3 linked regions of the Notamacropus eugenii genome follow. The protein of the gene in region 1 purifies or fractionates together with the protein of each later gene. This does not show direct contact. Links are inferred from orthologs where the notes say so. Each region holds a gene or a part of one and is shown in the gene's direction. Other genes may lie near its edges. The genes, in order: UBXN2A, PPP1R7 and PPP1R11.

Region 1 (3,742 bases):
CTTTCCAAACCCAACTGGCCCACTCCCCTCCCATTAGAAAGGGAGCTCCTTCCTTAGTAGCTTAGTCCCTCCACTAGTCAGTGAATGGGCAAGCTTTAAGTGCCTACTAAGTGCTGGGCAAGTCCAGGGACACATGGGGCCTCCCCAATCCCAGCTCCTCTCCCCTCCCACTGCCATCATCCCCACTCTCTCCCCGTCTCCTACTGCCCACAGACAAGCCACATCTCCCCCATCACTCCTTCCATCCCTGCTACTGTTCCTTTTCTGGCTAACCTTGAGAAGGCTCCTCCCCCTCTCACTCTCTGCTTACCTTTGGGCTTCCAACCTCATCCTTGCACCAGTAGTGACCATCAGTCGTAGTTGCCTCACTGTCCTCCACCCCTCTGCAGCCTCAGACACCATCCATCATGATTTCCTCGAGGTGTTCAGAACATCCCACCCCCACCCCCCATTCTCCCTCTCCGTCCGCCCTGCCTAACCATGGGGGTCCCCCGGCGCTCTGTCCTGTTCCTCTCCTCTTCTCCCTCTAGACCACTTTCCTGGGGGAATCTCCTCAGCTCCGTGGATTTGATGACCGTCTCTGAGAGGGTGACTGCCAGATCTCCCTGTCCTGCCCCAGCCTCTCCGCAGAGCTCTAGTCTCTCCTCCCCAACTGCCCATCAGACATCTCCAGCCGGATGTCCAGTAGACACATGCAGCTCCTCTCTGTCCCCCCACCTCCCCGCCTGCCCTGGCCGCCCCTCTGGCTCCAGGCTCTCAGCCCGGGCAGCCGCGGTTCCTCCCTCTGCTCCGCCCCCCCCATCTGGTCAGTTTCCAGGTCTGTCAGTTTCACGGGCTCCGCCTCCCACCTCCGGGCCTTTCTCCCGGCCCGGCCCTGCCCAGAGCTGGAAGCCAAGCCCGGACTGGCCTGAGCCTGCGACCCGAAGGTCACCCCAGGCTCCTCTGGGCCTGAGCAGTCCGCCCGCGGGCAGGGCAGGAACTTGGGGACTGGAACCCAGCGGGGGACATCCCCCCGCCCCGCCCCCGGCTCCCCAGGGGGTGCCCAGCCTCCGACCCTCCCCCGCGGGGGCTTGGCCCGGGCCTCCCGCGGGCTCGCTCCCGCCGCCGGGACTGCGCACGCTCGTGCACGTCCGGCCCGGAACCCAGAGGAAGAGGAGGAGGAGGAGGAGGAGGAAAAGTCAGGCCTGGGGGATCAGCTTGGAGAGTTAGGCGGGCGTCCCGGCGGTGCGGACGCGCACGGCTGCGAGCAGGTGAGAGAGGAGACCTAGGGGAGAGGCCTGGACCCTGGGCTGACGTGACCTCGGAGGCAGAGGTGGGTGGGGACCTAGGGGGAGGGGAGAGGCCAGTGCTGGGTCCAGGCGTGGGGTGGAGACTGTTTCAGGGGTTCACTGAGTAGGTGAGCAGAGCCCGGCCGACCGCAGACTCTGTATGTGACCTGAGCCAGGAGTTGGGGAGGGGCCCCTGGGACCGAAGCTCCTTCGGAGCTCACCAGCAAGGTCTGGGCAGGCCCCCTACCGCAGGGTGTCCCCGGACCTCCTCCCCTGAGCTGTGCTCCCCCTCCCTCACCTGTACCCTGCCCTGACTGGGGGATAGGGGCGGGAAATGGACCCCAAAGGAACCAGCCTGGGGAGGGCCCCCAAAGGAGGGCTGAGAAGGGTGGAGCCCAGCTCCCCCCATGCCATGGAGAGCCACAGGGGCAGTGAGACTCCAAGGATTGAGAAGACAGTGGAGACGGGGAAGTCTGGTGTGAATGTCAGCCTGTGAGCAGTGGGGAGGCAGGCCCTGGAAGCTAGAAAAGTGACCAGAGGGGTCAGAGGAAGTCTCTGAGGAGAGGAGATGATTTTGGGGGGAGGAAAGGGGGGGACATGGACAAGACCCCCAGCCAGGAACACCCAGGGAAGAGGAATAAGACCAGACCCTTGAGCGCATGAGGTGGATTTGGCACACTGTAGCATGGGGACCCTGGAGCAGCCTGGTCGTTCTAGGCACCATGTTTGGGAACCCAGAGGACACTGCAGCTCAGAAGGGCGGTGAGTTGGAAGTCATAGGGCTAGTCCAAGGACCTGGGGGTGTTTAGGGCTTGTGTGGGCCTGGCTGCCTGCACCCCTCCCCCATTTCCTCCTTTTCTCATCTTTACCACTTTGGGTTAGGGGGAATGAGGAGACACCAAAGTGTTTTGAAATGAGTTTATTGCCACTTTGGGGTTTTTTGTCGCAGTCCTTGTCAAATATATTCTTTTCCCAGGGAGGCCTCACTTAATACAAGAGTCCCTTCCACCTTCCTGTAGCTTCTCACCCCCGGGGTGCCCCACCTTGGCCTTGAAGGGAAAGTGGTGCTCAGTCTCCTTTCTGGATCCTGGGGGCTCTTTGTATGACTGGGGTCGCCATCAGCAACGCCCTTCTCCTGACTCTGCTCAGCCCCCAGACCCTACCTGCTGCCTCTGCCCATGCTCCTATAGGGTCTATGTGTTCTCCATAGCTCAGCCCTCAAAACCCTTCCCCCACTGACCCCAGTTACTTTGAGGCCTGCAGAAATGGTCTGTGCATCAGGGAGCTATGTGTCTTCTGAATCTTGAGGTCAGAGGGGAAGCGGAAGGGTGTGGGTCACTGGTCACTCCACCAACCAACAGCGTGTCTTTGTCCTGCAGCTTCTCTCCTCTGACAGTTTGCTGGGTCTGATGGACCATGTCACGGTTATACTCATGTCCACTTCCCTGATTTCTCTTCTAGTGGTCATTAGTAAGTTGGCTAGTCTTCTAAGAAGTGTTGACCCCTTATCCATTGGGGATAGCTCTTGGACATACACATACTTGTGTATGCGTGCATCTACATACACATGAACATGTGTATATGCGTGTGTGTATACCTTTGTATCTGTGCCGGTGTGTGTCTGCGTGTTTTACGTTTGTTTTATGTTCTAGTTATAGTAAATTTTTTGTTTAGTATTTAATATTCGTCCATATGTGTCTTGGACAGCAAGCCCTTCTCACAGGTATTTGCAAAGATGTTTTTCCCCAGTTGTTCATTTCCTTCTCATCTGAGGTGCATTGATTTTGTTGGTGTCAAACTTTTTAATTTCACATCGCTGAAATTATCTATTTTGGTTCAGGGTTCTTTGCCAGTTGTTGCTCTGCCTTCCATGCTCTGATTTCTTTAAATCTAAAAATGCTTTTACTGGTACCTTGCCTAAATTTCCTCAAAGTATTTCATTAGATTAAATGAAATAACTACTTGCCAGACTCTCGGCAAATCTTAGTCTAGATAAATGGTAGCCATCGTTATTAAGTCATGCTGTTCTTGGGGGCGGGGTGTGGGGGTGGGGGAATAGGTGTGGACTAGACCATAGGTAATGTAATCTGATGAATGCTTGGGATGGCCAGACTCAAAGAGAAGTCAGTCACTCCATAAACACTTGTAAGGCGTCTTCTCTGTGTTCCAAACACTGCCTGTGGGGGGAAATGCAAAAAAGAGGCAAAAGACATTCCCTCTGAGAGTTCACAATCTAAGGGGAAGATGAGCATACAAACAGAACAATGTCTAGCTATGTAAAAGGAATAATTGGGTACAGGGATGTTTGAAGAAGACCAGCCCCCCTGGCATGAGGGCTGCTTTCCACCTCTAGTGTCCACCTGATTCACCCAACTCTCACCTCTGTCTCCAAGAAGCTGGAGCATGTGCAGCAACCTCGCCCCAGTAAACTGTCTCTGCAGATGGGCTGAACCAGACTGGAGGTAAGTGACAGA
Region 2 (3,742 bases), on another chromosome or scaffold:
TACGGGGGCCGGCGGGGGCCAAAAGGGGAACGCTCCCGGAGCTGCTCAACTGCGGGCGCCGCTCCGCGTCCCGAGCCCATCTCCCTCCAGGAAGCCTACGGAACTTCTCCGCGCACCGGCCCAGGCCGTCCCCGGGGCCCGCGGCGGCCTTCGGCCGTCCCCTCCACGCAGCCCTCCCGGCTCGCCCCGTCCGCGGTCCCCCGCGTGGGATCCGGCCTTCCCCGCCGGGCCGGGCTGGATCTCGGTGTCAGACCCGCCCGTGCCCAGCCCAGCCTCGCAGCGCGGCTAATAGATGGAAGACGGCGGAGATGGCGCCGCTCCTGGGGCATCCCGCAGGGCAGAGGACTTGCCCAGGGTCACACCAGCCGCCTGGAGACAGAGGACCCGGCTCGGAGCCGCTGCGCTCTTGGCCGGACCGCAAAGACAGAAGTCGGTCCACAAGCGCCCAGCACGTGCCCTGCGGTGGGCTAAGCCCCGGGGGCACAGAAAGACAGCGCCTGCCCCCCGAGCTTAAAGCTCAACGGGGGAGAAGCACCCCACAAGCCAAAGACGGGATGAGCTAGAGAGAATCCCCAGGACAAGGCACCTAAGTCAAGGGGAGGGCGAGGCTGCCTGTGGGACGTGGCGGAGGGAGGAGGGAGGGCCTGCCAGGAAAGGTGCCAACCGGGTCTGGCTCAGCGTCAGCCAGGGGAAGGCAGTGCTAGGCACGGAGGGAGTCAGGGAAAGAGCCTGGAGGCGGGAGATGGAGGCAAGAAGGCCAGTGTCACCAGACTGGAGCCGGGGTGGGGACTCAGCGAGGTGCCTAGTCTGTGCTGGGCTCTGAAAAGGAGAAGGAAGAGGAAGAAGAGGAGGAGAGGGGGAGAGGGAGAGAGGAGAGAGAAAGAGGGAGAGAGGAGAGAGAAAGAAAGAAAGAAGAGAGAGAGAGAGAGACAGAGAAGGACAGAGAGAGAGACAGAGAGAGAGAGAGACAGAGAGAGAGAGAGACAGAGAGAGAGAGAGAGAGAGAGAGAGAGAGAGAGAGAGAGAGAGAGAGAGAGAGAGAAGCCCCTGCCCCAGACAGCTTCCCGGAAAGAAGGAGCCTTCCGGAGATGCCGCTGGCTGTCCAGTGGCTCCCCCCCGAAAGGATGAACAGCCCGGGGTCCTCGTCCCGAGGGGGCGTTGGCACCAGGGGAGCCGCCCGCACCGCCCCGGGCTGCGCCGGGGATGCCAGCAGCACGTGCTGCCTCCTCCCCAGGTCACATCAGCCTCCCGTCCTCCCCCTCCTCCTCCCATTCCGGACGCAGTTCCCAGCCCCTCCTCGTTCATTGGCCCTCCTCCTTCCCTTTTTCCCTTCTCCCTCTTCCTTTCCTCCCTCCCATCTCCTCTTCCCCGCCCCTCCCTCTCCCTCCAGCTGTCACAACTTTCCCCTTTGAAACTACAACTCCCAAGAGGCCTCGGGAGCCACACATGCGCACCGCATGCCACTCCGGTCATTCAGCCACGGCGAAGCCGATTGGCCTGCCGGCGGCTGAATCCGACTCCCTGATTGGCTGAGGAGCTGCGGCGACAGCTTCCGGAAAAGAGAAGAGCCACCAACATGGCGTCGGGGGGCGGCGCGGGGCTGCAGCAGCCGCCGCAGGAGATGATGGAGGGTGAGCGGCCCCTGCGGGGGAGGCGGCCCGGGCGGCGGGGGCGGGGTGGGCCCCTTTCCTCCCTCGAGGCTCGCGTGGATCCAGCCCGCCCTGCCGCGTCCGTGGCCTAGGCCCAGCGTCGCGTCCCCCTTCCGGAGGGGGAAACTGAGGCATGCCGGAGCGCGCTGCGCGGGCCGCCCGCCCTCCGGACTGGGGGACGCGCCGGTGGGGGCGGAGGGCGCCGGCCTCCCCTGTCCAGGCTACCCTCGGCCCCTGGAGACCCCGCTCCGGGTGCTGGGGGGACCGAGCCTGAGGCGGCGGCCCTGCCATCCGGGAGCGCTCCCCAGCCGATCCGTCCTGGGGTTGGGGGCGGGCATTCCTGGCGGGGGCAGCGCCCGGAGCAGAGGCGCCGCGGTGGGAACCTAGAGTTCCCAGAGGCGGATGGTGTGCGGTGAGCCCCGGGGTTGGGGGGGGGGGGGGGTCCTTGCACACAGCGGGTGCTTTGGGGTGCAGTGCACGGAAGCGCTGACGGTCCCTGCTGGCCCCCTCCCTGCCCCCCCACCATCTTCCCACAAGGAGCCCCTGGATAGACTCAGAGTCAGCGTTCCCCATATACACCCCGGCCTGGGCACAGGGTCTCTCTCTCACGGACACGTTAAGCCCTTCGAGGCCAGGGGCTGGTCACCCTCGTCTCCATGTCTCCAGCGCCTGGCACGCAGGGGTGGGCAGCGCCCTGGCAGTGGACTCTGAACTCTGGGTGGGGACTGGCCAGGCGGAGAAGGGAGCGGCCCAAGCCTCCGCGGGCGGACAGGAGTGCCCCGCGTGAAAGCAGCGTTCTGTGGGAGGGAGAGCGGGCTGTCCTCCAGGGCCTCTGTGCGCAGCTTCCTGGGGCCCGTGTGACCGTGGGCATTCCTGGGTCCTCCTCTGTCAAACAGGAGACCCCGTGGAGTGCCCGCCCCCTTCAGAGCGCCAGGCCAGGCTGCCCCCCTGCTGAGCCCGGCGCGGGACGGCCGTGCCCCGCCTCCTGAATACAGCCCTCCCTGGCGATCCGCTCCAAGGAGCGTGGGGTCTCGGAGGCTCGGGCCCGCGGGGTGTCGGAGGCTCGGGCTGAGGCTCGGGCCCGCGGGGTGTCGGAGGCTCGGGCTGAGGCTCGGGCCCCGTGGGGTGTCGGAGGCTCGGGCCCCGCGGGGTGTCGGAGGCTAGGGCTCCGCGGGGTCTCGGAGGCTCGGGCCCGCGGGGTGTCGGAGGCTCGGGCTGAGGCTCGGGCTCCATGGGGTCTCGGAGGCTCGGGCCCCGTGGGGTGTCAGAGGCTCGAGCCCCGCGGGGTCTCGGAGGCTCGGGCTCCGCGGGGTGTCGGAGGCTCGGGCTCCGCGGGGTGTCGGAGGCTCGGGCCCCGCGGGGTGTCGGAGGCTAGGGCGCCGTGGGGTCTCGGAGGCTCGGGCCCCGTGGGGTGTCGGAGGCTCGGGCTGAGGCTCGGGCTCCGTGGGGTCTCGGAGGCTCGGGCCCCGTGGGGTGTCGGAGGCTCGGGCTCCGTGGGGTCTCGGAGGCTCGGGCCCCGTGGGGTCTCGGAGGCTCGGGCCCCGTGGGGTGTCGGAGGCTCGGGCTCCGTGGGGTGTCGGAGGCTAGGGCGCCGTGGGGTCTCGGAGGCTCGGGCTCCGTGGGGTCTCGGAGGCTCGGGCCCCGTGGGGTGTCGGAGGCTCGGGCTCCGTGGGGTCTCGGAGGCTCGGGCCCCGTGGGGTGTCGGAGGCTAGGGCGCCGCGGGGTGTCGGAGGCTCGGGCTGAGGCTCGGGCTCCATGGGGTCTCGGAGGCTCAGCCCGGGCGCCGCGGGGTGTCGGAGGCTCGGGCTGAGGCACGGGCTCCGTGGGGTCTCGGAGGCTCGGGCCCCGTGGGGTGTCCAGAGGAGGGGAGTCACGAGAACGGCAGAAGGAGAGACTGAGATGTGTCCTAAACCACCGAGCATTCAGACGGCTGTCCTGAGGCAGCGGCAGCGCCGCGGGCACGGGCTGCCCTGTCCGGGCGGGGGCACCTGTGCCGTCAGGGCTTCCTCAGGTGCCCCGTGGGGCGGTCCGCCCTCCTCAGCTGCCTGGCCAGCAGGACCCAGGTGGTCAGCGAAGGCGGCCAGGGCAGCGTG
Region 3 (3,742 bases), on another chromosome or scaffold:
TCAGTTTCCTCATCTGCAAAATGAGCAGGAAAAGGAAATTGCAAACCATTCCAGTATCTTTGCCAAGAAAACTCCAAATGGGATCACAAAGAGTTGGACGTGACTGAACAATAACAACACAAAAATAGGAAAGACAGGTTTAGGAGGAAGGCGTTCTGCTTTAGACATGTTGAGGCTAAATTTGTGATACGGCACTAGATCTGTAAAAGATAAGAACTAAATATTTCCATTTTTGAGTCATCTGTATAGATGACTTAAACCCATGACTCATTACACTCATAGAAGTCAATAAGATCAAGGCAGATTGCCCAAAACAGAGCTCTATGTTACATCCACACATAAAAGTGTTTAAAATGATCAAACCATTGAAGGAGACTGAGAAGGAAGGGTCACACTGAAAGGGGACTATAAAAGCAATTTCATGAAAACCCAAGAAGAGTGTCAGAAAGTGAGGGTGGAGTGCAGTGTAGAGGGTGTCAAGAGTATCATGCTTAAACAAGGTTGACAGAAAGATGAAGACTGAAAAAAAAGTCACGGAAGTTAAAGATTAAGAGATCATTAGTAACCTTTCAAGCAAGCAGTTTAAATTGATTGGTGGATTCAGAAGCCAGACTGCAAAGGATTAAATGGAAAGTGGAGAAAATGTAGATAGCTTTTCTTTCTAGGAGTTTTGCAGTAAAAAGAGGAATACATATAAAGGGTGTCCCAAACTTAGTGCAGTTTTAAGATACTGCAATATTAAATTTTATGAGCTTAAAATTGCACTGTCTTTTTGGGATACCCTGTATATATAATTGATAGCCTGAGGGAACAACAAATCTGGGCATGTTTGTAGAGAACAGGGAAGGAGCAAGTACATAAAGATTAAAAATTAGAGGACAACTGATGGGGAAAGCTTAAAGAGAGGACAGCAAGAAATAAGATAGCTCAAGGGCACAGGTTGAAGGAAGTTAGCCTTTATGAGGACTACCTCTTCCTCTGGTACCAGTGTAAAGTAATATAGAAGGGGACAAGGGGGAACCAGAGTGGTGATGAGGAGATATGAGGTGAAGAGTTTGGAGGAAACAGTGACTCACAATGAATGACCTTAATTTTATCAGTAAAGCACAGTAAAGATATTTTGCTAGAGGGGAGGGGAGAAGAATGGGGTAAGCTTATAAGAAAAGAAAACTGGAAACAATCCATGTGGGGAATACAATGGGAGTAATCTATTAGGGAAGAGTAAAATATTTGCAATTCAGCTGTGACAAGTTGCTGTTTCATGATGTGTTATGGTGGAACTGTCTCAAAAAATTCAGTCAGACCACCTCTCATTCAAGTATAAGCATTTATTAAGATTGACGCCTCATGAAGCAGGCTAAGTTTGAAGAGGAACCAGCAGCTTCAGAGAAAGCAAGATAGATTTCTATAGGGTAAAGATGCAATTATGTAACAGAAATTATGAATATTTAAAAGGCAGGAGGGGTTTGTTAAGGGATTAGGTGTAAGGGATTAGGTAATAGGGGAGGGGTCCCACCCACAGTAGAACTGCACGTATGATTACTTACAATGTATTCAGAAAAACCCATTTGGGGAGTATGTATGTATAGTCTTTCTATGTCATAAATTCATCTAAAGGACAACTTTTGCTATTACTTCAAAGGTGCTTACTTATGGAAAATCCCTTCTACCGTTTTGAGGTCCACATCCTGCTTGAGCCTCCTGTGGTGCTGCTTTCTGATTGGCTCGGTATTGTGGTCCGGTCTGAGACCACAAGGATGGGGTTGTGGTTGAGTGCATGGAAATACCTGCTGTTTCTGTGGGAAATAAGAGAAATGGGTCTAGGGGCGGTGACTAGCTAAAGGCAGTGGCTTCGTAGAGGCAGTGGCTGGGATCCCATCACATGTACACACCTGCTGCTTCTGTGAGAAATATGAGTTCAAGGACACACCTGTTGTTGTAGTGAGCAGTGAGACATAAATGAATAAGTGAAGATATTGATTGGGGGTTCGGGGACGGGGGCAGTGGGCCTGCAGTTCAGTGGAGCCTATAAGGAAGTTAGAATATTGGGGCTGCAGGCAGCTTTATGAGGATTCCATCGGTGAGAACCCACTCCACTGCCATGAACAGATCTATGGTGCTGACATCCTTCGTTGGCATTCAGCAACCAGAAAGTAGGACCAAAGGTGGATGGCAGAGGTAGGTCAGAAAAGAACACTGGAAAGGAATGAGCAGGACATAACACAGTGTCACCATTTCAAAGGAAGGAACGTGCTGCCAGAGTAGGTGTAATGCCCACGACAAAAGCTTCCCACAAAAAACAGCAGCTTTTTCACCAGCCTTTGTGCCCAGCGACAAAGAAAACTCTGAGACGGACTGCACAACATTAAGGAATGTTAACCGCTGTAATCACTGGTAATTTTTCAGGACTTCAGGCATTTCCGTGAGTCTGGGGGTACACGAGCTACGTCCACTATCAAACTGCATGACCTAGGAGGGACCAACGTACTGGTCAAGCAGGAGCGTCTTAGAGAACTCGAGGCGCGCTCCGCATCTCTCGGTTTCTGGCTCACCAATTTCCCCGGGCCTCCATTCCTGCGGAGAATGAGGAAGGGATGTTGTTTTGATGGGAGGACCTAAGATTTCGCGTTTCCTCCAGCGCAGAGGGATCCTTTGTCTTCCCAGCGGCAGATCAAGTTGGACAGCAGCTGGTGCCTGTGCGGAGCCGCCTTCCTCCACGCCAACGCGGTCGCTTCACTGCTGCGCTTGCGCATCTGGCCCTGACTCTTGCTCGTTGCGCGGCCTCCTTCGCCCAGCGGGCGCCCCCAAGCGTTCGTAGACTCTCGGTCAAGTAGCCTTGGCTCCCTCGCCGATTACGGCGGAAGTCGTTCTGGAGCGCCTGCGCCTTTGGCCGTTTACGATTAGTGGGGAGACGAGCCGGGTGCGGAGGAACGTCATACCCGGAAGTCAAGAGACGGAAGTGGGGGTGGGCTCCTTGTCCTCGGGGGGCGGGGAAGTCGAGACCAAAGAGGAGCAACAACAACTCGACCCTGACTCCTACTTCCCCCGACGCCGGAGGCTTAGACTCACCCAGAGAGCCAGAGAAAGGAAGATTACGCCTCCCCCGACGTCCTTCTCCCACCCTCAGCCCCCGCCATGGCCGAGGCCACGGCTGGGCTGAGCGAGACCGTCACCGAGACATCGGTTACTGTGACAACCGAACCCGTGAGGAGGACAGGGGTGTGGAGAACCTAGCGTAGACAGGGAGAGGATGACGGAGGAGAGGGGGAGGGAAAGGATGCCCGAGGGAAAGAGTGGGGGAAGGGAGGGGAGGAAAAGGATGCTCGAGGGGACAGGAAGGGAGAGGATGGAGAAAGGCGGCCACGGGGGAGGGGTCAGTAGCGGTGGGGAGCCGATTTGGGAGGAATACGTCATGGATTTTCAGGGAACGGAAGAAGTCTTGGATGGGGGTGTCAGGATCAGGACCCAGTGTTTGGCTGGGTCTTAAAAGAGATTTGGAAGAGGGCATCAAGGCAGGGTTGGGTGATCAGATGAGAAAGAGGAACTGGAAGGAGAGGGACCTGAAGTCAGACAGCAGCTTGGGGACGAGATGGGGAGCTGTGAAGTGTTTAGGAGACTAATGGGAAAAAATGCTTGGAGTCTAGAGGTTGGGGAGGTTGGACTTAGAATGAGATTGGGGGGAATGCTAGGCAGGAGAATGAAGAGAGACAATAGGATGATCAGGACCTGGTTTAAGGGTAAG

Evidence for each region.
Region 2: the proteins of UBXN2A (region 1) and PPP1R7 purify together in Homo sapiens (affinity purification with mass spectrometry; 3 studies listed by BioGRID and IntAct, counting the BioPlex papers as one, with this or other methods). This does not show direct contact. The link is inferred for Notamacropus eugenii from reciprocal best matches to the Homo sapiens genes UBXN2A and PPP1R7.
Region 3: the proteins of UBXN2A (region 1) and PPP1R11 purify together in Homo sapiens (affinity purification with mass spectrometry; 3 studies listed by BioGRID and IntAct, counting the BioPlex papers as one, with this or other methods). This does not show direct contact. The link is inferred for Notamacropus eugenii from reciprocal best matches to the Homo sapiens genes UBXN2A and PPP1R11.

What each region holds. Positions count from the first base shown.
Region 1 is NC_092872.1:761,347,775-761,351,516, forward strand, and holds the start of UBXN2A (UBX domain-containing protein 2A), read left to right. Parts: upstream 1-1,105; 5' UTR 1,106-1,250; exon of another isoform or gene 1,251-1,312; intron 1,313-3,742. UniProt on the Homo sapiens protein: Acts to repress the ubiquitination and subsequent endoplasmic reticulum-associated degradation of CHRNA3 by the STUB1-VCP-UBXN2A complex in cortical neurons.
Region 2 is NC_092877.1:378,106,600-378,110,341, forward strand, and holds the start of PPP1R7 (protein phosphatase 1 regulatory subunit 7), read left to right. Parts: upstream 1-1,487; 5' UTR 1,488-1,576; coding exon 1,577-1,631; intron 1,632-3,742. UniProt on the Homo sapiens protein: Regulatory subunit of protein phosphatase 1.
Region 3 is NC_092873.1:83,983,385-83,987,126, forward strand, and holds the start of PPP1R11 (E3 ubiquitin-protein ligase PPP1R11), read left to right. Parts: upstream 1-1,323; 5' UTR 1,324-3,135; coding exon 3,136-3,219; intron 3,220-3,742. UniProt on the Homo sapiens protein: Atypical E3 ubiquitin-protein ligase which ubiquitinates TLR2 at 'Lys-754' leading to its degradation by the proteasome.